Mus musculus: one gene and its partners. The protein of the gene in region 3 interacts with the protein of the main gene of each other region in a pairwise test. Links are inferred from orthologs where the notes say so. Each region holds a gene or a part of one and is shown on either strand. Other genes may lie near its edges.

Evidence for each region.
Region 1: the proteins of Calcoco1 (region 3) and Cep19 interact in binary tests that used the Homo sapiens proteins (3 or more experiments, as listed by UniProt). The two-hybrid records come from large-scale screens. The link is inferred for Mus musculus from reciprocal best matches to the Homo sapiens genes CALCOCO1 and CEP19.
Region 2: the proteins of Calcoco1 (region 3) and Dusp13 interact in binary tests that used the Homo sapiens proteins (3 or more experiments, as listed by UniProt). The two-hybrid records come from large-scale screens. The link is inferred for Mus musculus from reciprocal best matches to the Homo sapiens genes CALCOCO1 and DUSP13B.

The regions. Positions count from the first base shown.
Region 1 is NC_000082.6:32,096,287-32,102,842, forward strand, and holds the start of Cep19 (centrosomal protein of 19 kDa), read left to right. Parts: upstream 1-3,502; 5' UTR 3,503-3,825; intron 3,826-6,556. Other genes in the region: Pigx (phosphatidylinositol-glycan biosynthesis class X protein isoform 1 precursor), read right to left, coding at 714-777, 3,184-3,283. UniProt on the Homo sapiens protein: Required for ciliation. Recruits the RABL2B GTPase to the ciliary base to initiate ciliation.
Region 2 is NC_000080.6:21,738,445-21,745,129, reverse strand, and holds the start of Dusp13 (dual specificity protein phosphatase 13), read left to right. Parts: upstream 1-3,631; 5' UTR 3,632-3,747; coding exon 3,748-4,100; intron 4,101-4,687; exon of another isoform or gene 4,688-4,852; coding exon 4,853-5,026; intron 5,027-6,685. UniProt on the Homo sapiens protein: Dual specificity phosphatase that dephosphorylates MAPK8/JNK and MAPK14/p38, but not MAPK1/ERK2, in vitro. Exhibits intrinsic phosphatase activity towards both phospho-seryl/threonyl and -tyrosyl residues, with similar specific activities in vitro.
Region 3 is NC_000081.6:102,717,442-102,725,738, reverse strand, and holds the start of Calcoco1 (calcium-binding and coiled-coil domain-containing protein 1), read left to right. Parts: upstream 1-3,560; 5' UTR 3,561-3,692; intron 3,693-6,017; 5' UTR 6,018-6,041; coding exon 6,042-6,197; intron 6,198-6,662; coding exon 6,663-6,765; intron 6,766-7,745; coding exon 7,746-7,936; intron 7,937-8,297. UniProt on the Homo sapiens protein: Functions as a coactivator for aryl hydrocarbon and nuclear receptors (NR). Recruited to promoters through its contact with the N-terminal basic helix-loop-helix-Per-Arnt-Sim (PAS) domain of transcription factors or coactivators, such as NCOA2.

The sequences.
Region 1 (6,556 bases), on a different chromosome or scaffold from region 3:
TCCATCTGTAATGGGATCTGATGCCCTCTTCTGGAGTGTCTGAAGACAGCTACAGGGTACTCATATAAATGAAATAAATAAATCTTAATAAATAAATAAATAAATAAATCTTTAAGAGGGAGAGAAGAGGAGGAAGAGGAGGAAGAGGAGGAGGAAAAAGACTGGTATCAAAGAAGAAATAGAAGCAGTAAACTCGAAGTAATAGCACACAATCTAGTAACTACTTAAATGGAAAATAAACCACACTCATAAACCAGGCTGGCCTCGAACTCAGAGATCCGCCTGCCTCTGCCTCCAAAGTGCTCGGGTTAAAGGCGTGGCCACCACTGTAGGCTCGTCTTTCATTTCTTAAAAGTAAAATTACACATATATATGTACACAGTAAGCAATTATTAATCCACCATTATTTTAATCATTTAATCACTTCAATATATGAACCACATATGACAAATCTGTTACTCTGTAACTTTAAGAAAGCCAGGCTCAGTGGCGTACATCTGTAATTCAGCCCTGGGGTGAATGAGAGGAGGATCAAGAGTTTGAGGTTATCCCAAGCTACATGGCAAGTTTGAGGCCAGTCTGGGCTATATGAGACCTCGTCTCAAAACAAACAAGCAAAAAAAAAAAAAAAGAAAAAAAGGAAACAAATGTTCAGTTTATCCATAATTATTAGGCAGTTGTTTAATATAAGTAGAAATCAGTGGGCAACCTACCTGTGGAAACCATCTTTCAAAAATTCTTGCCTTAAAATAATTTCAGAACAAGTGGCCCTTACACCTATAAAAATCAAGACATTACAAATGAAAATACACACAGGGAGAGAAATCTTAAATAGTTAGAAAATAACTACTCTAGTCGGCTTTACTTGCTAGAAAAGTCTAACCACCTAACAGCGCAAGGTAAAAAATTTAAATGTTTACAAAACACATGAAACTCAAGAAGAACAAAGACCAAAGTGTAGACATTTTGCCCCTTCTTACAATTGGAAACAAAACACCCATGGAAGGAGTTACAGAGACAAAGTTTGGAGCAGAGACAAAAGGATGGACCATCTAGAGACTGCCATATCCAGGGATCCATCCCATAATCAGCCTCCAAACGCTGAAACCATTGCATACACTAGCAAGATTTTGCTGAAAGGACCCAGATATAGCTGTCTCTTGTGAGGCTATGTCGGGGCCTAGCAAACACAGAAGTGGATGCTCACAGTTAGCTATTGGATGGATCACAGGGCCCCCAATGGAGGAGCTAGAGATAGTACCCAAGGAGCTAAAGGGATCTGCAACCCTATAGGTGGAACAACAATATGAACTAGCCAGTACCCCCCGGAGCTCTTGTCTCTAGCTGCATATGTATCAAAAGATGGCCTAGTCGGCCATCAGTGGAAAGAGAGGCCCATTGGTCGTGCAAACTTTATATGCCTCAGTACAGGGGAACGCCAGTGCCAAAAAGTGAGAGTGGGTGGGTAAGGGAGTGGGGGGGAGGGTATGGGGGACTTTTGGGATAGCATTGGAAATGTAAATGAGGAAAATACCTAATAAAAAATATTTAAAAAATTTAAATGTACGCAGGTTGAGCTCCATAGAGATCTACTTCTGGCAGTACATCAGTGAGGCTGAGAATCTCTGCCACTGGAGTCGGCTTGTCAGCTTTCCATGATGTAATAGCTGTGCCTCTGAAGTAGACCAGGCCTCTCTGTGGCTGTCCCAGGCATTTAATACATGTAGAAGCAGTCAAAAAAGTGCTCCATACACAAAGGATTTTGTTCATGTGATTTTTTTTTTTTTTTTTAATACAGGGTTTCTCTGTGTAGCCCTGGATGTTCTGGAACTCACTCTGTAGACCAGACTGGCCTTGAACTCAGAAATCCGCCTGCCTCTGCCTCCAGAGTGCTGGGATTAAAGGCGTGCGCCACCACTCCCGGCTTGTTCATGTGATCTTAAGACACTATTCTGGCTCACTAAATCATGTCTGATACGTGATACAGCAACACAGCAACTTCTGTATTCTTATGCCCGTGTCTACAAGTCTGGGAAGATTGTACACTGATACTTTGTGAAGATGTTGGGAGAGGCTTTTTTTTTAAAAAAAAAAAGGCAAGAAAATGAGGGGCACATGAAGATTCAGTGAGTTCACTTACACACTTGGAATAAGCAGAAATCTTCATAAAATGATTCACTAAAACTATTATTACTCAGTGACTAAAAGTTCAAGACTGGTGAGATGGCACCACCTTTGGTTCCAGCACTCAGTTTGGTCTACATACCAAGTTCCAAGAAAGACCATTTCTCAAGTATCAAATATTAAGAAACAAACAAACCCTAAAGGTTCAGTAGCCAGGTACCCTGCTCTAAAACACTGGCAAGAAATGTGTGGGAAGAACATTAAAATAAGAGTGTGAATCACTGATAAACCTGTTACTCAGCAACATGAAGCCAGGAGAATAAGCAGTTGGGAGACGCTTGAGGGTCCTACAATATAAAAGCGAGTCAACAGTTGCTGGGGGCAAACTGCAGAGAAAAAGAGATGGGAGGGGGGAAACTAGTGTTAGGACTGAAGAGCTGTCTGGAAGTCGCTTAGTGAGCTCCAGGGTTGCAGTTTTCAGGACTCACCCATTTTATCTTTCTACTGATGCAGCTTCTTTTGAGTTATCCTTGCTTCTAGTAAGTAGCCCCTCACCCATATTTCTAATAGTAGCCCCAATTAAAAAAAAAAAATCATTGGTTTACCAAACTGGACACTGGTACAAAGGTTACCTTTCTGGAGTGAGCAGGTTGTGCGTGTGTGCGTGCGTGCGTGTGTCCCTGGGAAGTATGTCACACAACACATCACCTCACCCCTTCTCCCATACATGCTGTTTGGGCATTCTCACACTTCGCTGGATGCCGAGGGTTCACTGCCTCTCAGGCAGCACAAGGCATCTTCAGGGGAACCATAAGCACCCCAAGATACTTCGTGGCTTGCTGTACTTGTTTCGTACTTGGGTCACAGCGTGGCCAGTCCCGCCTTGGAAAGACAAAGCCCGGCTCTGAAGCCCGGGATGGGACCCCCAGCAAAGATCACAAGGAGGGAAGGGCGCACAGGGCCTTTGTTGCTAACTTCCTCCGGCCTCGGGTACCCCAGGCGCCGCGGGTGCTCCCCACCTCCGCCCCAGCTCCGCACACACTCGCTCAGCCCCCTGACCTTTACCAGCGCTGAAAGGGGCGTCGCTGAAGTCCGCGGCGAGCCTGCCGACCAGCCAGGCTGCCCAAAGGAGCAGCCAGGCCACAGCGCCGGCAGCCAGGACGCCGGAGCCCGACGCCCGAAAGGGGCGCTCGGGGCAAGCTGCGGTCACCGAAGGAATCTGAGCACGCTGAGCGCGCGCTCACCTTTCCCGATGACCCGAACAGAACTCGGCTAACACTTCCACCCTAGGATCTCCCTACAACTCCAGGTTCCGGAGAGGCCAGCCCCCTGGCCCCGCCCCTCGTCATCCCGGCCGGGGCGGGGCGAGAGGCTGCGCAAGCGCAAATTGAGAGCCTTCTGTTGCCTTGGGAACGATCCTCGGGGCGCCTAGGTGGGCCCTTGGACCGGGCGAGCTGCCTTAGGACCGCACTCCCCGCGCTCAGCCCCGCTTCCTGCCCACAACCGGATGCGTGCGGGCTGAGCCCCCTGCCTCTGAGTTCACCCCATGGTTATTCCTGTAGGCTATGGCTATCGCCGTTTCCTGCAGCGTCAGGCTCCACCTCGCCTCAAAGTCGACCTAAGCTCCTCTGTGCAGTGCAGTAGGATGGAAACCACCCCCTCACTGCTGTTCAGATGTGCACTTCCTGTACTTCTTCAAGGGTAAGTAGGGTCGCCTTGCATTGGTGAGGACATGAATCGGGACCTCAGTATTCCCTTCGGTGTTGTGGGGAACAAATCTCTAGTAGGAAAAGTATATCAGGTAAAAATACATTAGGTAAATGTAATGTCATTCCTCCCAGTGCGTTAGCTGACCTAGTGCTGGTGCTGAACGGCAGGCAGGTTATGGGGTCTCGAAAGTGGGAGGATAGTGTAATATAGCACTACAAACATGCTATTAAGAAATATGGACAAAAACAAAAAAAAAAAAAGGCCAGGTAGTGGTGGTGTATGCTTTTAATCTCAGCACCCGGGAAGTAGAGGCGGTCAGATCTCTGAGTTTGAGGCCAGCCTGGTCTACAGAGTGAATCCAGGGCAGCGAGAGCTTCACAGAAAATCCTGACTTGAAACAACAACAACAATAATAATAATAAATTAAAAGGAAAACTCTTTAGTGAAGACCTTACGTTATTATCGACTCTATTCACAAGTGTGGCCCTTTGCTTATGTTTGTAGACCATATAGTGTCTGGAAAGTTTACTGACATCACACTCTAGTGAGGTGAACTGGGAATAGTGTCTGGGCATTGGCTCAGATCAAAGGCAAAGCCCAGCAATGTGAAAGGCAGCACTTTATTATGGTTGACCTCATAGGAGTAAAAATCTCACATCTGTCAGTAGGGTGAGAATACAGACTGTGATCCTATATGATAAATCTACCTAGCAACCATAAAATTTGCATTTAATACAGGAAACCGTATGTATGAGATAAAACTAAACTGTAGTCTATATATGTATTTATATTTATGCATATATGTATGTGACATACATATAGCTAGAAAAAAGAATAGAAGTTAGATGAACATTTCATTTTCTCTTTCTCTCACTTTTATTCCTATTTTTCTTTTTTTTTTAAGATTTATTTATTTATTATATGTAAGTACACTGTAGCTGTCTTCAGACACACCAGAAGAGGGCGTCAGATCTCATTACGGATGGTTGTGAGCCACCATGTGGTTGCTGGGATTTGAACTCAGGACCTTCAGAAGAGCAGTTGGTGCTCTTAATCACTGAGCCATCCCGCCAGCCCTAAGCAATTCTTGTAATTAAGTGTACTTTGCCACTGAGGGTAGAGATGGAAAGAGAGAGCAGAAAGTATTAATCTGAAAATATCTGGTTTTTTTAAAGATTTATTTATTATTATACATAAGTATACTGTATTATTATTATACATAAGTATACTTCAGACACACCAGAAGAGGGCATCAGATCTCATTACGGGTGGTTGTTTGCCACCATGTGGTTGCTGGGATTTGAACTCAGGACCTTTGGAAGAGCAGTCAGTGCTCTTAACCACTGAGCCATCTCACCAGCCCATGTCTGGGTTTCTTATACCTGGAAAAATACTATAGTAGGACAAATGAGCAGAGGTAAAAGCCAAACAAACATTACTGTTTTGAATGTGGAGAGGCTGATTACCTACAAACCCCCCCACCCCCCCTTTTTTTTTTTTTTGAGAAGTAAGGGACCAGAGTTCCCAAACAGCTGTCCTGGAACTCAGGGCAATCTTGCTGTTTTGGCCTTCTGAGTTCTGAGATTACAGGCATAAGGAACGATGCCTTTCAGATCTGCCATTTTCGCTATTGATCCTTATGTTTCGCTATTGATCCTTATGTTGTCAGCTGACTGGGGTCAGTTTGCTCTAGCTGGATAGAAATCATGAGTAGAAGTTCCCAGGCCCTTGAGTGTCCAAGGCCTGGACTAGCACGTTAGATGATGACAGTTCCAGACACTGAGAGGTAGGGACTTAGGCCTCCTGATTTAGACGCTAGTGACGCATGGCTCTGGGTGCTCAGGTCAGATGCTATTAGCATCCATTTGGCAAGCATTTGCCAGATACTGTAATGCCCCTCGTCCAGCAGCTGTGAGTGCCACCAGAAGACAACATCTGCTGGACTACAGTTGTGACACTCCATTCCTACAATGGCTAGTAGTATCGCTTAAGGCCCGGAAGCTTCCTGAAACTCTTCAGCATCTAGTTCTCATAACTTCCGCTGCCTCTACTCCAGTGTTTCCACTTTGGTTACTTACTCTCTGGGACCTTCTGTTGCCCTCTTGGGGCTTCAACTGCTACTGTCAGGATGGAAGCTGCTACCAGTGTGCCAGTTTTACCATCTCTTCTTCCTTGTGCTGATAGCTCAGTCTGGTCTCCTAACACTAACGATCAAAAGCAGGAAAGAAAAGGCCACTTTAACCGTCTTTTAATGAGCCTCATGTTATAACACGGAACACCCGGAGCAGCACAATGAGGGCGTGTCCAGGTGAGTCCGGAAGTGAGCAGCCAGATGTGAGGCAAGGATGTTTGCAGCAATCATGACACAACCCCTCATGCAGAGGGATACTGTGGTCTGCATCGGAGCCACCACCATGACTGCTCCTCTGTCTAGAGTGAAAGCAGAAGGACTACTAATGCGCACCGAGGCTCCTGCTCAGCATGCTGCTCTCTAAGGCCTGTGCAGGCTGGTGGAGTGCTCGCAGTGATGGCGGTCTTCAGCTGCGCCTATAGTATCCTCGGAGAAACAGAAACAGAGAAAGAAAGAGTCTGGACAGTTAGGAGGAAAGGAATGACTGTCCCACCTCAGGCTGCTATAAGAGAAGGGCCTGTGAAAATGTTGCCCTAGATGGTCTTAAAGAAGCCTCAATGCAAACTAACAATTCTAGCAACAGTTAACAGT
Region 2 (6,685 bases), on a different chromosome or scaffold from region 3:
TCCATAAGCCAGGGATAGCAAGCCAACCCTCACAGTTTCTCCTTGTACGTGTACCCATTCAGCCTGGCAGAGAACGGAGAGGTGACAGATACAGGGTTAGGTAACAGCCCTTGCTCCTGTCCTAAAGTGCCAGCCAGCCTAGGCCTTCATTTACCTGCCTGTAGTGTGAAGGTTCTCTCTCCTCCAGAGCCAGTCCTTCCGCTCTGCCGCCAGGCTCTGCCAGTTTGCTACTCTTGCCCTGGCCCTGATGGCAGCCTTAGCCCAAGTGGACGCCCAGAAGATGAAAAGGGCCCAGCGTGGCGCTCACCGTCGAACCCGCCACTCCAACAGCCTCCTCCAGCATTCCACGTGCCCTCTCAGCCACTGTCTTCAGTTTCCACAGGTGGGAGTGGGCTGTCTGTCAACTAGTCTTTGAGGCTCTTGTGACAGGGTCCCCAAGTCCTCTGATAGGGTCAGGGAGAATGGTTCTCAGTGTTCTCCCCGGCTCTCCCTGAGGCTCAAGGAGTTCAGTGGACATAAGGCTGAGGGTGTGTGTGTGTGTGTATCTGGTAGTGCTAGAGAGCATTATTGTATGGGTATATGATTAGAGCATCTGGATTAAAAAGGATACTTTTTAATCTCAAATCCAGTGGCCTCTCACTAGGCAGACCCCTGGGGCACCTGTCTTTGAGGGAGAGACAGAGGGCAGTGGAGGGAGAGCTGCTCCTGGATAAAAGCCACTGAGTGCACAGACCTGCTCCATAGTCCCTTGACAGCTGTGTCTGTCTATGCTCTGTCTGTCTGTCTGTCTGTCTGTGCCTGACCGGAACCTGCCAGATGGTGAGCTTGCACTTCTCACCCTGAAATAGAGGCTCCTAGACCTATGCTCTGATGTCCTTCTAGTATGTGCTTTGACATAGTCTCATCTGTGTCTTCCAGCATAGATCCCATCAGCTCTTTATCTCTGCCCTAGTTTTGAGTAACCTCTGAAAGCCAAGGGATTTGGGGGTTGGGAGGTATTTGGGGCAAGCTGGAATGGTACTCAGGGTCTCAACCACACTAGATAAGTGCACTACCATTGAACACCACCACCCAGTCCTAGAGAGGTGGTTTTCTGTTTTGTTGTATTGTGTTTTAGACAAAGTCTTACTGTGACTGTCTAAAACATCTGGCTGGCCTAGAACTCACTATGTAGACCAGGCTGGCCTTGAACTCAGAGGTCTGCCTGTCTCTGCCCCTGCCTCTGCCTCCTGAGTGATGAGATTAAAGGTGTACGCCACCATTCAGGCTCTAAGGGGAATTTTTAAGGTGGTTTGCTTGCTTTTCCTTTTCCCCACCCAGCTACCCAAATACACTCATCCCACACACCGCAGGCAACCCTCTGAGCTTCCTGTATCCTGAACATTAAGGATACATGTACAAGGAGAAAGGGTGAGGATAGGTTTGGGCCTCAGCCATGGGGTTGCTGGGTACAGTTGCACAGCCTGGGTTTAAGGAGGAAGTACCTGGCTGAGCCTAGGGCTGACCAGGCCATGGGACCAATGGACAAGTTGGGAGTGGCAAGGAAAGGCAAAAGGGAGACGACAGCATGCTTTATAATTAAACTCAAATAAAAAAATAGAAACAGCATCAGGTGTGCGGAGCCAGGCGGCTAGAATCCAGCGGCACAAGCTGTGGGTCGGAGAAGACTACAGCCCGGTCAGGATCTCCCCACAGGTGGGTGAACGACCCTAAGCAGAGACCCCTGAGAATACTGGGTACTGGGGCCCAGGGCATCTATGCCTGCTTGTGTGGGCAACTGTGAGGACTGGGTTGGGGGACTCCAAATGGGTCAGAGGTAGAGGCACAGAACCCTGCCTCTCGCCACCGTGTGACCTTGGGCAAACTGCTTTTATCTCTCTGAGGCTTGATTTTTCTCATCTGGAAAGTGGGGATGTTGATACTGCCTGCTTCGTGAGAGAACAGGGTGGACTCAGCGTGAAGACACGAGTCCTGGGCTCTGTCTGGTCTGTAACGTACTTCCTCAAGCTGGGAATATAATTACGAAACACAGAGATCCAGGTGAAAACTCCACAGGCCATAGCAATCTACCCTCTATAGGTCTTGGCTGAGCCCCGAAAGGATGAGACTGATTGGAGCAATGTCCATAACGTGATGCCTCATTTATGTGGCACCTGCCCTGATGCAGGGCCTCTGGGAGGTGCATCTCACTTATGATGTCATGAGAGTCTCCCAGCAGCTCCTGGTGAAGACTCAGGCTCACAGACTCCCACACAGGTCTGTCTCCCTCCAGGGATGCAGGCTGGGCAGAGACCACTGCAGTCTGCCCTTGGCATTTACCTGCCAAAGTCTCTTTCCCAGACACCTCGATGTCCTTCTGTGAGAACGCTAGCCCCACTTGGTCTGTGCTCCCTAAGAGAAGAGGGGAGACAGAGAGGGAACAGCAGAGGAGACCAGGAGAAATGTGTTCTGAGGTTACAGCTAAAGAGGTAGGTGGCAAACAGCTGCCACGTCCCAGGCTGCTGAGCAAGGCCCGAGGTATGCAGGGTGGTATTCTAGAAGGCTATCCTGGGACAAACTGAAAGACAGACAACAGAGAGCAAGCTAGAGATGCTACTAGTGCCAACAAAAGGTAAGTATGTGTAGCTCTGTATACAGAGGCAGTGTGGGCAAGAAAGCCACTGTTGACAGAAGCAACTTCTCTGCTGAAGTTTCAGGGAAGTAGAAGCCAGGTAGCACTAGAGAGCCACGGGAGGACTATCATGAATGTGAACAGGGGCCTGATCCTACAAGACATTCAGCCATGGCTCCTTCTGACATAGCTGGGCCCTCCCTACACCAGGGGGTAGCAGAATCCCTGGGCTTTCTTTTGGGGGGGGTGCCTAAAGCTTAAGGAATGGCTCACTGAGTGAGCTGCTGGGCCTGGCTCTGATAGGTGAAAGGAACCCTCAGTGGACCAGAGCAGATAGCTGGGCTACATATAGCCCTAAGTAGGACCTGACCAGGAAACCCTAAGTCTAAGAAAAATCTTTCCTACAGGTCTGAGTTAGACCAGGGAAGTTAAGGACATCCCCTAATCCCCACCACCGAGCTCCTGGGACACAGTTGGGCTGCCTAGCAGCCACTGGCCACTAGAGGGCAGACTTACCCCATGCCAAATTGAGCAGGCCTGTGAGGGGCCTACGGTTTCCCGAAATCCCTGTCTAGTTCCACTCATAGCTGGAGGAGTCTAGCTGGTGGCCTCAGGCCAGAGTGGCTATTGGACTTCCCTGGATTCAGAGATCCTCCACCCTAATATTCCTTTCCCTGGTGTTACTTCATATAGCGTCATTCCCTTCTCTTGCAGCCAGCAGAATACCAGAGAGCAGAGAAAAGAAACTAAGGCCCAGATAGGAATGAAAACTTGCCTAGGTCCCAGGATATATCCTTGTCAAATTTTAAGGGGAGTCTGTTCCCTAGGCATCTCTTCAGGTGGTCCCCATCTTCAGGACAAGTGTTTTCAATAGCAGAGACACCAGGGAGAGATGTTAGGCCACTGCTCCTGTCCCCGCAGCTCAGGTCTGTCTTCATCTTGCCCCACATCCCCATTGGCTCACATGCATGGACCTGGAATTCTAGGCGCATAACAGCATTTGTGTTCTGGATGGAACCTGCTTTAGGACTGTTCCACTCAGCCTGCCCCTGCACCTAGTCCCCCATTCCTGGCCCCAGACCATGCCCTAGGTAGGTGGCAGGCCACTCAGCCTGCCAGAGAGGTCACAGAGGGGGATGAGGGAGAAAGGCCGGCCCTCTCTTCCACCCAGCTCATCATCCACTGGCTGGGTGAGTGTGGCCAAGCCAGTGGCCTCCTGGGTGCCCATCTCTTTTTCTGGTTTTGGCAGTGCCTGCCAGAGGGAAAAGGCATTCTACCCAGTCTGTACCTACTCGAGTTACTCTTTGAGGGGACCAGGGGTAGTTGACCAAGGTAGGTTCCCCTTCCCTCTAAGGTACCAGGCTCAGGTTCTGGTGCCTCTGACACCTCAGCTCTGCAAGGGCCCAGATGGACTAAGCCAGATGACTCCAGACATAACCCACTCCTTCCGGGTGAGGCCTGTACAGGTGTACTGGCCTGAACCACAAGGGTAAGGAGGAAAAAAGCCCGGGGCCTGTAAGTGGATGTGTAGCTCATCCCTGACAGCTCCCTAGAGGAGACACATCAGTTGGTGACCACCCTCTGGCAACTGGAAGGCTTGGGGAATGAACTGAAGGCACACACTGGATATCAAGCTCAGGGTAGTCTTTAGCCATTTGTCATTTGTCATTGGTGTCAGTGTGAAACATGGAACACAGCACAAGGGATACAGCCTGCTTATGAGCGACACCAGCTCACTTGGTGTGAACAAGCTGACTAATGCCCACTTGTGGCTGGACTGTAACCCTGGACAGTGCTTTGACCTCCTCTAGCATCAGCCTTAGAAACAGCCAGGGTGGGAGCTACAGATGAGCTGCCTGGCTTTGGAGGGACATCCTAGGTCCTCTCCAAGAGCCTCCGCCAGCTGGGGTTTCCAGTGACTAAAGGGGTACGGTCTGCACAGATTAGCCCTACAGAGATTCCCCACGGTCCCTAAGACCAACATTTCTAACATCCGTTGCCTCAGGAAAGGTACGCTTAGCGCCATGGAATTGACAAGAGAGTTCTAGTTCTCCTTGTTCCCAGGGAAAAGGTTCTAGGTTCCAGGCCAGCTGAGCCGGGTAATAGCCTCATTCAGCATAGCTGAGGCTGGCCCCCACAGCATCCCACTGGCTCCTGGTACTGCAACACAGGTCTCCCTGTCCACTGGACCCACGCTTGGGGAGCCTGTTCCAGCTACTGTCCTGTTTACTCTGTTCCCAGAATGGACTCGCTACAGAAGCAGGAACTTCGGAGGCCAAAGATTCATGGGGCAGTCCAGGTGTCCCCCTACCAGCCACCCACACTGGCCTCTCTGCAGCGATTGCTGTGGGTCCGTCGGACTGCCACACTGACCCACATCAATGAGGTCTGGCCCAACCTTTTCTTGGGAGATGCGTAAGTAAGACCCATGTAGGGGTTTAGGGTGGCTGATGGGTGGGAGTACCAGGATAAGCCTCCTCCAGATGGCCCACAGTGCTTCTCACCGCTGCCTGCATTTGCCTTTCTCATGTTTGTTTGGAAACATACAGTTTCATCTTTCAGGCCATGGAATAGAGAATTCCTTGTATCCTAGAAGTGACCTGTTTTAGTGGATAAACCACACTTCAAGAGACAAAGCTCTCTCTCTTCTCTTCTTTTCTTTTGTACCCCTGGTTGGCTCGAATTCCCTATGTAGCTGAGGATACCTTGAGTTTCTGATCCTCCAGCCTTCACCTCCAAAGAGCTGGTTTTACAAGTGTGCATTGCCACCATGCCTGTTTTATGCTGGTGATCACACCCAGGGCTTTGCACGTACTAGGCAGGCGCTCTGCAAATTGAGCTGTGAACCTAGCCTACCTGAAACCATCATCGTCCTCATTGACTCAGTCCCACTGGATGTCCTGGAACTCACTAGGTAGAATAGGCTGGCCTCAAACTCATAAAGATCCTCCTGCTTCTGCCTTCTAAGTGTATGCTACCATGCATCTCTCATTTCTATTGGTGTATATTCATTGTATATTGGGATGGGTTTAGCAGATTTTTCAAGCTTTACTGTGTATTTGATCTTATTCACCTCCCTATTCTCTCCCCCATTTTCTTTCTTTCTTTTTTTTTTAAGATTTATTTGTTTATTATATGTAAGTACACTGTAGCTGTCTTCAGACACCTCAGAAGAGGGCATCAGATCTCATTACAGATGGTTGTGAGCCACCATGTGGTTGCTGGGCTTTGAACTCAGGACCTTTGGAAGAGCAGTCAGTGCTCTTAAATGCTGAGCCATCTCTCCAGCGCCCCCCCCCCCAATTTCTTTTAAATTTGAGACTGGGTCTCACTGCAGCTAACTTGTAATTGTCTAGGAAGACTAGGTTAGCCTTGACCTTACAGAGACCCACCTTCCTCTGCCTGCAGAGCTAGAATTCAAGTCGTGTACTGCTGTGCCCACCCCCACCCCCCCACATGCCCTCCTTTTTTCTCTTTCTCACTCACTAGTTTGGTTCCTTCCACCAGATAATCTTGCTTCAGCTTTAGTGTCATATGTATGTAGTACATATGTGATTTTATGTAGCTATATAGCTATATAAAACCTAGGAGCTACTCAGATTAGCAAATGCATGCTATGTTCTGGGTCTGTGCTATTTCATTTGATATGACCACCATTTGCACCCAATTCAAAAGCAGCATTTATTTTTCTTTCTAGTTTTGCCTTAAATACTTCAGATATGCCTTTTGCCAGCCTTCTAAAGTTAGAGCAAAAAATATTTAAAATTTACCTTGTGGTTAAGGCAATGGCTCAGCAGTTAAGAGCACTGACTGCTCTCGCAAAGGGTCTGGGTTTGGGTCCCAGCACCTGCACGGCAGCTCACAACTGCCTGCAACTGCAGTTCCAGGGAATCTGATGCCTTCTGGCTTCCACAGGCTCCTGCATGCACATGGTGGACACATATACACATACATTTAAAAAAATATTTTGGACCCTGGAAAGATGGCTCAGTGGTTAAGAGCACTGGGTGCCAGCTGTCGAGATGGCTCAGCGAGTAAGGGCTCTTCCAAAGGTCCTGAGTTCAAATCCCAGCC
Region 3 (8,297 bases):
ATAATTTTATGCATATGACTGTTTTGCCTGCATTTATGCATGCACACCACGTGTGTGTGGGAACTTGCAGAGGTCAAAAGATGGTATCAATATCCTAGAACTGTAGTTACAGAGAATTGTGAGCAGTCATGTGGTTGTTAGAAATAGAACCTGGGTCCTCTGGAAGAATAGCAAGAACTCTTAACCACTGAGCCATTTTCTAAGCCATATTTGAATAATTTTTGTTTGTATTTTTTAGTGTGTGCATGTGGGGTGTGTGTGTGTGTGTGTATGTGTGTGTGTGTGTGTGTGTGTGTGTGTGTGTGTGTGAATTCAGGTGGCATGGGTACCACTATTACATGTGGAGGTCAGAAGATGACTTTCAACATTTCTCTCTATCTCTATCTTTAAGAATTATTTATTATACTGTAGCTATCTTCAGACACATCAGAAGAGGGCACCAGATCCCATTACAGATGGTTGTGAGCCGCCATGTGGGTGCTGGCAATTGAACTCAGGACCTCTGGAGGAGCAGTCAGCGCTCTTAACCACTACTGAGCCATCTCTCCAGCCCTCAGCATCTCTCTTGATGTCTCTGCTATGCTAGCTGGCCTGTGAGGGTCAGGGCAATTGACCATCTTGACACAGAAATGCTGCATGTCAGGCTATAGAGATGGCTCAGCGGTTAAGGTGCACTGACTGCTCTTCCAGAGGTCCTGAGTTCAATTCCCAGTCAACCACATGGTGGCTCACAACCATCTGTGATAGGGATCGGATGCCCTCTTCTGGTGCGTCTGAAGACAGCGACAGTGGACTCACATGCATGAAATAAATAAATAAACCTTGAAAAAGAAGAAAAAGAAAAGAAACGCTGCACACCATCTCATCCTCCTTCTCCAAACGGCGCTGGGGATTGCGCTCAGATTACTAGGTTTCTTTAACAAGTGCTTTAACTTGATGGGGCATCTCGCCAGCCTCTTCTGTTGTGATAAGGTCTCCTACAGCTAAAACTGACTCCTAAACTGGGTATGTAGCTAAGGATGATCCTGCACACCTGATAGTTCTGCCTCTGGCTCCAAGTTGATTATGAGTATATGCTACCATGCTCCACTTTATGCCATGCGGGGTATCAAACCCAGCACCTCTGCAGTTTTGTTTTCATTTTGCTATGATGCATGTGTTAAGTTCAAGGGAATGTGCCATTTTGAATTCCTCTCTAGGCTCCGGTGAGCATCACTGAGTCCCATTTCTGAATCTTGGCTTCAACCTAGAATAAGTTTCCTTTTTCTACCTGGTCCCCATCCTTTTATTATTTATTTATTATATGTAAGTACACTGTAGCTGTCTTCAGAGACACCAGAAGAGAACATCATATCTCATTACAGATGGTTGTGAGCCACCATGGGGTTGCTGGGATTTGAACTCAGGACCTCTGGAAAAGTAGTCAGTGCTCTTAACTGCTGAGCCATGCTGGGCAGTGGTGGTGCACACCTTTAATCCCAGCACTCTGGAGGCAGAGGCAGGCAGATTTCTGAGTTCGAGGCCAGCCTGGTCTACAGCCAGGGCGATACAGAGAAACCCTGTCTTGAACCCACCCCACCCCCCCAAAAAAACCTGCTGAGCCATCTCTCCAGCCCCCACCCCATCCCCATCTTGACAAACTAACCCAATCAAATATATCCTTCAGTATCTGTATTTACCCTTTTAGTGAGACATATGGAACATCCGGCATAACACTAACACATACTTGTTGAATGATGGGGCTTCCCGTTGCCACGTGCCTTCACTGAGCACATAAGAGCTCAGTGAATATTTATCCCCTGACTAACACTGCTTCTTACAACAACAGAATTTAAAGCCACATTAATACAGTGCTGACTACTGGAACTTGAACCCTGATTCTGCCACTTAGCTGGATTAACCTCACGAATTACTCAGCTGTCTGAGTGTTGCTCTCATTACACGTAAAATGGGGATGATAATAGGGCATACGTTATGGCTGTTTAAAAACGCTGTAAGCATCCCAAACATGGAAGTTGTTATTACCTTAGCTCTATTTGAGACTGAGATTTTTACAAGCTTTCATTCTGAATGCAGACAAAATAAACATTTGAGACTTGAGTCTTTGGACAGGCTTCACTCGTAGCTAACCCAGGACCTTGAACTATCTCCCCATCCAGCAGCTTGTGCCCTAACTCATAAATCCTGACTAATGACACAGACATGTCATCTTAATGTTTGTGCAGCCCAGTGACTTAATGCTTGGAGATCTTCAAATGAAAGGCACCCAAGGACAGCATCAAATACCCTATTCAATCTTAAAAGGAAAAAAAAAAAAAAAACTACCAAAAAAAAAAAAAAAGTAAAAGAAGAGGCGCCGCCAGAACCTACTGCCACAGATAATTAGAATGGACCCAACCAGGAGAGGACAGCTGTCTTTCCGGCATAACTATTTATTTGTGAGACAGGGTCTCCTGTGTAGCCTGAGTCAGAATCGAAATCTCCAGGATCTCCCTGCCTCTGCCTCTTCAATTGCTAGGGTTATAGGTGTGTAGCATTACATCTCACTTAATCCTTTAATATTGAGAAAGGGGGGGGGGGTTGAACTCTTCCAGGGTTGGAGGCCACCCACAACGATGAGGACGGTTCAAGTCCTTAAGTGACTGCGGTGTGGGAACAGTGTGACTCTTTCGCCTATCAAAACAAAACAAAACAAACAAACAAACAAAAAACAACCCTATAGCAACAATTGTATTGTTGCTCTAATTAATTTAAGCCAGTTAAAAGGCTTGGGCAAACAAGCCTCTCTAAGTAGCTTGTTGTGAGCTGTGGCAGTCCTGCCAAGCTCTCTCTTCAACCGCATGCTTTTCATTCCACAGCCTAGCCACCATTTCAAGCTATGTCCCCTAATCCTAGCCCCAGAAGCCACTCCAGGGGGAGCACGTGCAGGTGTGGTATGTGTGTGTGTGTGTGTGTGTGTGTGTGTGTGTGTGTGTGTGTGTTATCGGACCCCTTGGCATGGAAATCTTCTCAAGCTGGAACCAAACAGTAAGCTTTGAGACTTTTACAAGCTCTGTCAACCCTGAAGTCAGAACAAGCTAAAAATAAATAACCACTACCACCCCTGTGAGTTTCCCCACCCACAACATGGTGGCTGTAGCTCGTAGCTTGGGAGAGGCCTGGCAGAGTTCTACAGTTTCATAGCCCTGACCCTAGAGGATTCCTTAGACAAGTTTTTTCTTTTGTAAGTAGATATAACACTACAGCCTATCTTGTAAAAGCGAACAAGAAGGCTGTGCTGGAAGCGTTCCGCCCCACCGAAAAGAGCTGTGCAGAACGCGTTAAAGCCGTCAACTCTCCCACTAAGCATGCTACGAACCAGCAGCCTCCACTAGATCAGCCTGCCCTTTCTTAAGGAATCATGGGCCGTGAAGTCCTTTGGAAGACACACCCTCCTGAACTGCCTCGGGAGTAAGAACTACATCTCCCGGGATGCCACGCTGAGTCCATCACCGCCCCGCCCTCTTCCCCGCCCCTCGCGCGCAGCCTCCTGGGACATGTAGTTCCACAGGTAGAAAAGTAGACAGTGTCGAGTCATAGAAGAACCACAAGCCCCAGAAGCTCTCGCGTCACTCTTCCCCTCCCCTCCTATAGTCGGAGTGCTGTTTTTGTTGTTGGTGAAAGGTGAGGGGAACAGCTGATCCGTCCGTGGGGTAAGAAACTTGGCCTAACTGAGGGTGGGCTTACGCGGGGGTGGTCAGCCCGCTTCTCAGCCTGCGAAAGGCTAATCCGAGAGAACTGTAGAAGAGGACGGTAGGAGCGTTTAGGTTTTAATACTTTACGCACTAAGGAAGCCTCCCCCACGTTTCGGTTTTGTTGGTTTCAAGGGGGGCCTTGAGGAGTAGCCCGCATTGTCCTCACTTTCTTGCGGGGCCTCCTCAGTAAAGCTCGATCCGATTATGGAAGCTTGAAGGGACTGAAATATTTGCTTAATCTTTTCCAGGCAAGTCTTTGCCCTCACAGACCTTCTCTCTCTTACCCAAATCCAAAGATCCAAAGGCCTTTACTACGCTGAATCCCTGAGGGGAAAACTTCCAACTTGTGGAACGCCAAAACGCTGAGAGCCCTACAGTGGAGAGGGGACACACACACACACGCACACACAGAGAGGGAGAGAGAGAGAGAATGCATTTGAACATCAGCATCTGACCACATACACTTTCAGTTCTGAAGAATATCTGCAGCTGTTACAGATTGTCTTTGTGGGAAAGGAGGGGTTTGGGGTTCTCAACGGGTAGAACTTTAGAGACAGATCTCACTCTAACCTAAGAAGACTTATATTGAAGAAAACACGGAGTAGCTGTAATGAGAGATTTTTCATAGATGAAAAAAAAAAAGCCGACAAAGAAACTGTTTCCTATTGCATTGCTGGCCCACCTTTCCTTCTCCATGGAGTGTTTAATTTCTTTTAAAGTTCCTCCCCCACTGTCTCAGCCTGGTGTGGGTTTGTGATGTTTGGGGGTGTGCATATGACTAGTGGTGATGTCTGATTGGACACATCAGCTGCACCTGACACAGGAAGCAGATGTGTGGGCTAGAGAAAAGGGCTGCCTCCCCGCTCTGGACTGAGGTGTATTTTTTTTTTAAGTTAATATACAGTGAGTTTCATTTCAAACATGTACACCATCCATACTTTGTTCTTATTCATCTCTGAGTACTACTCTGTTTTAACTTTTTTTTTTTTACTTCTGTGTGTGTGTGTCTGTCTGTCTGTGTCTGTGTGAAGATAGGTGTACAGAAGTCTGAGCACAGCTTGGGGATATCAGTTCTCTTCTCCCAACCTTGAGTTGGTGGCAAGCACCTCTACCCACCCAACTATTCTACCCCCTGAACTCTTGATTGTTGTTGTTGCTATTATTATTATTATTATCTATTTTCCAATTAGTTCTCCCTAGCTAACTCCATTTTATCTGCTTATCTCCTGCCATTAACCCAAACATATGTCAAGATTTGGACTCTTAGAATTGAGGCTAAGAGGAGCCAACAAGAAAATGGGTATAGGGTACTGGAGCTGGGCTAACACCCAAACAAATCATTAGCTTTCTAGCTCTGCTCCCGTCAAGATGGGGGTGGGGGGGGGGAGAATGTTTCTCGTTGATCTCTGCCTTTTCTCAACGCCGAATGTATATTTCCCCTTCTCAGGGCCCCTGACTTACCCTATTTCTAACCTGTTTCCCTGCCTAAGGGCGGGGCTTTCCTGGCTCCAGGCCCCCACATTCCATCTCTGCACACCACCACCTTCCTACTGAATATTTCACTCCACCCTTGAACTGCCACCTCCAGAAGTTTTGATTTCCTGGAATAGAAGTTGAAGGACAGAACCTGTCTTTCCTATTATCCTCCCCTTCTCTAGCCTTGGAGGAAAGCCAAAGCTCGCCTTCTTCTGCTTCCCTAGAGTTGATCGAGATAGGCAACTCACGGATCGGTGCCCCCAAGAGCAGGTGCTCCAAGAGCAGAGGACCCAGGATTAGGTTGTTGATCCCCCAAACCGTAGTCCCCTCTGAAGACCCATCATCGTGATTGGTAAAGAAGGTTGAACAAGCTTAGGCATATGTAAGCAAGACCTGCTTAAACTGAGAGAGGCCCACACTTCCATTGGATTTTGAATTTTAGAGCCAGACATTATAGGGGGTCAGTTACATCGGGAAACCAAAAGAATCTGGAATTCCCAAGGATGTTGAGAGATGAAAGGGAGAGACAGAGATGGGCAGAGACCGAGATGCTGGGTCAGTGGGGCAATGAAAAGGATTAGAAATTAGACAGGTGAGGGCCTGTAAGCCAAAGAGGATACAACATGACAGGGTAGGAAGTTGACTTGGAAGACCTATGGCCCAGGAATTAAAAGTGATACCTTAAAAAGGTCCCACAACCTTGGGGGCCTGGAAACCTGTTTAGTGACAGGGACTGTGGGTTAGGCACACAGGGGTCAAAGGAAAGAAGCAATGGAAAAACAAGTCTATCAACCCTTTCTTTCATAGGACATCAGCCATCTTGAGGACAGCATGGAAGAGTCATCACTAAGCCGGGCACCATCCCGGGGTGGAGTCAACTTCCTGAATGTGGCCCGCACCTACATCCCCAACACCAAGGTGGAATGTCACTACACTTTGCCTCCGGGTACCATGCCCAGTGCCAGTGACTGGATTGGCATTTTTAAGGTATCCCTAGACCCTCTTCTAGCTCAAGATTATGGGACACAGGTTGGTTAGACTATGAGGAGTGGCTAAGTCCTTACATTCTCAGGTTGATAGGGGGAAAGATGACACAGAGGCAGTCAGTATAAAGTTCATCTTTGCCCATCTCTCTCCTGGTAGTATAATGTCCTCCAACCTTACCTGACTCTATTATTATTATTATTTATTTATAATAAGTACACTGTAGCTGACTTCAGACGTACCAGAAGAGAATATCAGGTCTCATTACGGGTGGTTGTGAACCACCATGTGGTTGCTGGGATTTGAACTCAGGACCTTTGGAAGAGCAGTCAGTGCTCTTACCTGCTGAGCCATCTCGCCAGCCCCTTACCTGAGTCTTAGCATCCTTGGTACCATTTGTTCAGTCCTGCCCTTGCCCACCCTTCTATTTCTCACCGATAACTCTGTCATCCTGCCTTTCTCTTCTAGGTGGAAGCTGCCTGCGTTCGAGATTATCACACGTTCGTGTGGTCCTCAGTGCCAGAAAGTACAACTGATGGCTCCCCCACCCATGCCAGTGTCCAATTCCAAGGTATAAAGAAAGATGGAATGCCGGGTAGTGGTGGCACACACCTTTAATCCCAGCACTTGGGAGGCAGAGGCAGGTGGATCTCTGAGTTCGAGGCCAGCCTGGTCTACAGAGTGAGTTCCAGGACAGTCAGGGCTACACAGAGAAATCCTGTCTCAAAAAGCCAAAAAATAAAAATAAATAAATAAAAAATAAAAAAAATAAAGATGGAGAAGCCAAAAAAGTGGTGGTTTGGGGGAAGGCGGAGGGCTAACAGCCATAAAAAGCACAGAGGATAAGGAATATGAGAGCACATAACTCCTAATTGCCACGCCTAATGGTACTCCAATGTCATCCCAGCTACCAAGGAGGCTAGGGCTGGAAGATAACGTGAACCCAGGATATCAATGCTGGCTTAGGCAACATGGCTGACCCCGTCTCCAAAAGGGGGAAAAAAAAAAGACTTTGTGAGACTGTGTCCAACAGAGTTCAGCAAGTTATCGTAGGGTCGGCACCGGTAACTTAGAGGATACTGTAGAAAGATAGAGGATGTTAATCCCATTCATTTACACAACGAAAGAGGAACTCCCAGTATAGGACAAGGGAAAGTGTGTGCTAATAGCAGTCTGAGCGACCTGGATTCAAATCTCAGCTCCCTGCTTTACAAGCTGTTTGGCATTGAGCAGGTAAGTTAGAATAGGGTCCCAGCTTGTAGGATCCCTACAGAGATTTTTACATGACCTGGGGAATGCTGAATGTGTGGTGTGTGGTGCATGCCAGCAGACAGTCAGTGCCAGCTAGAGTCAATGTGATGAAGAGGAAGACCGGGTATGAATAAAGCAGGTGTCTAGACAGGAAGGAGGAAGGACCGTATCCCAAGGACCGCCACAAGGGAGTGGACAGTAGGTAGCATGGGGATACTCGTCCTCCTCAATAGGAACAGGAACCTGTTAGCACTTGAGAGCCAGAGATCATACTGGGTTTCTGGGCTATTCTTCCCACAGCCAGCTACCTGCCCAAACCAGGAGCCCAACTCTACCAGTTCCGGTATGTGAACCGCCAGGGCCGGGTGTGTGGGCAGAGCCCCCCCTTCCAGTTCCGAGAGCCAAGGCCCATGGATGAGCTGGTGACCCTGGAGGAGGCTGATGGAGGCTCTGACATCCTGTTGGTTGTCCCTAAGGCCACCGTGCTTCAGGTAAGAAAAAAAAAAATTGCAGACTTGTTCCAGGGCCAGGGACACCAAGGACAGCATTGCGAGAGCCAGCCTTTTCAAAGGGTGGCTGCCTGCCCTAAATCCTACAGGAGAGCCACAAGGTGGAGGAAAACTGCCTCAAGCAACCCAGGGAGGAAAGAGTGTGGGCACAGCAGGGCTCGAAACTGTCCCATTCAGTACCAAAGGTGCTGACCACATAGGGCTCTTTGGCACTTCAGGTATGACTAATCCAGTTTGAGGTATAATCACAGGAAAGATAGCATACTGGATTTCAAACACTTTGTATCTCAACATTTATTTATTTAGTTGTGTTTATCTGGGTATGTGTAGATATGTATATACG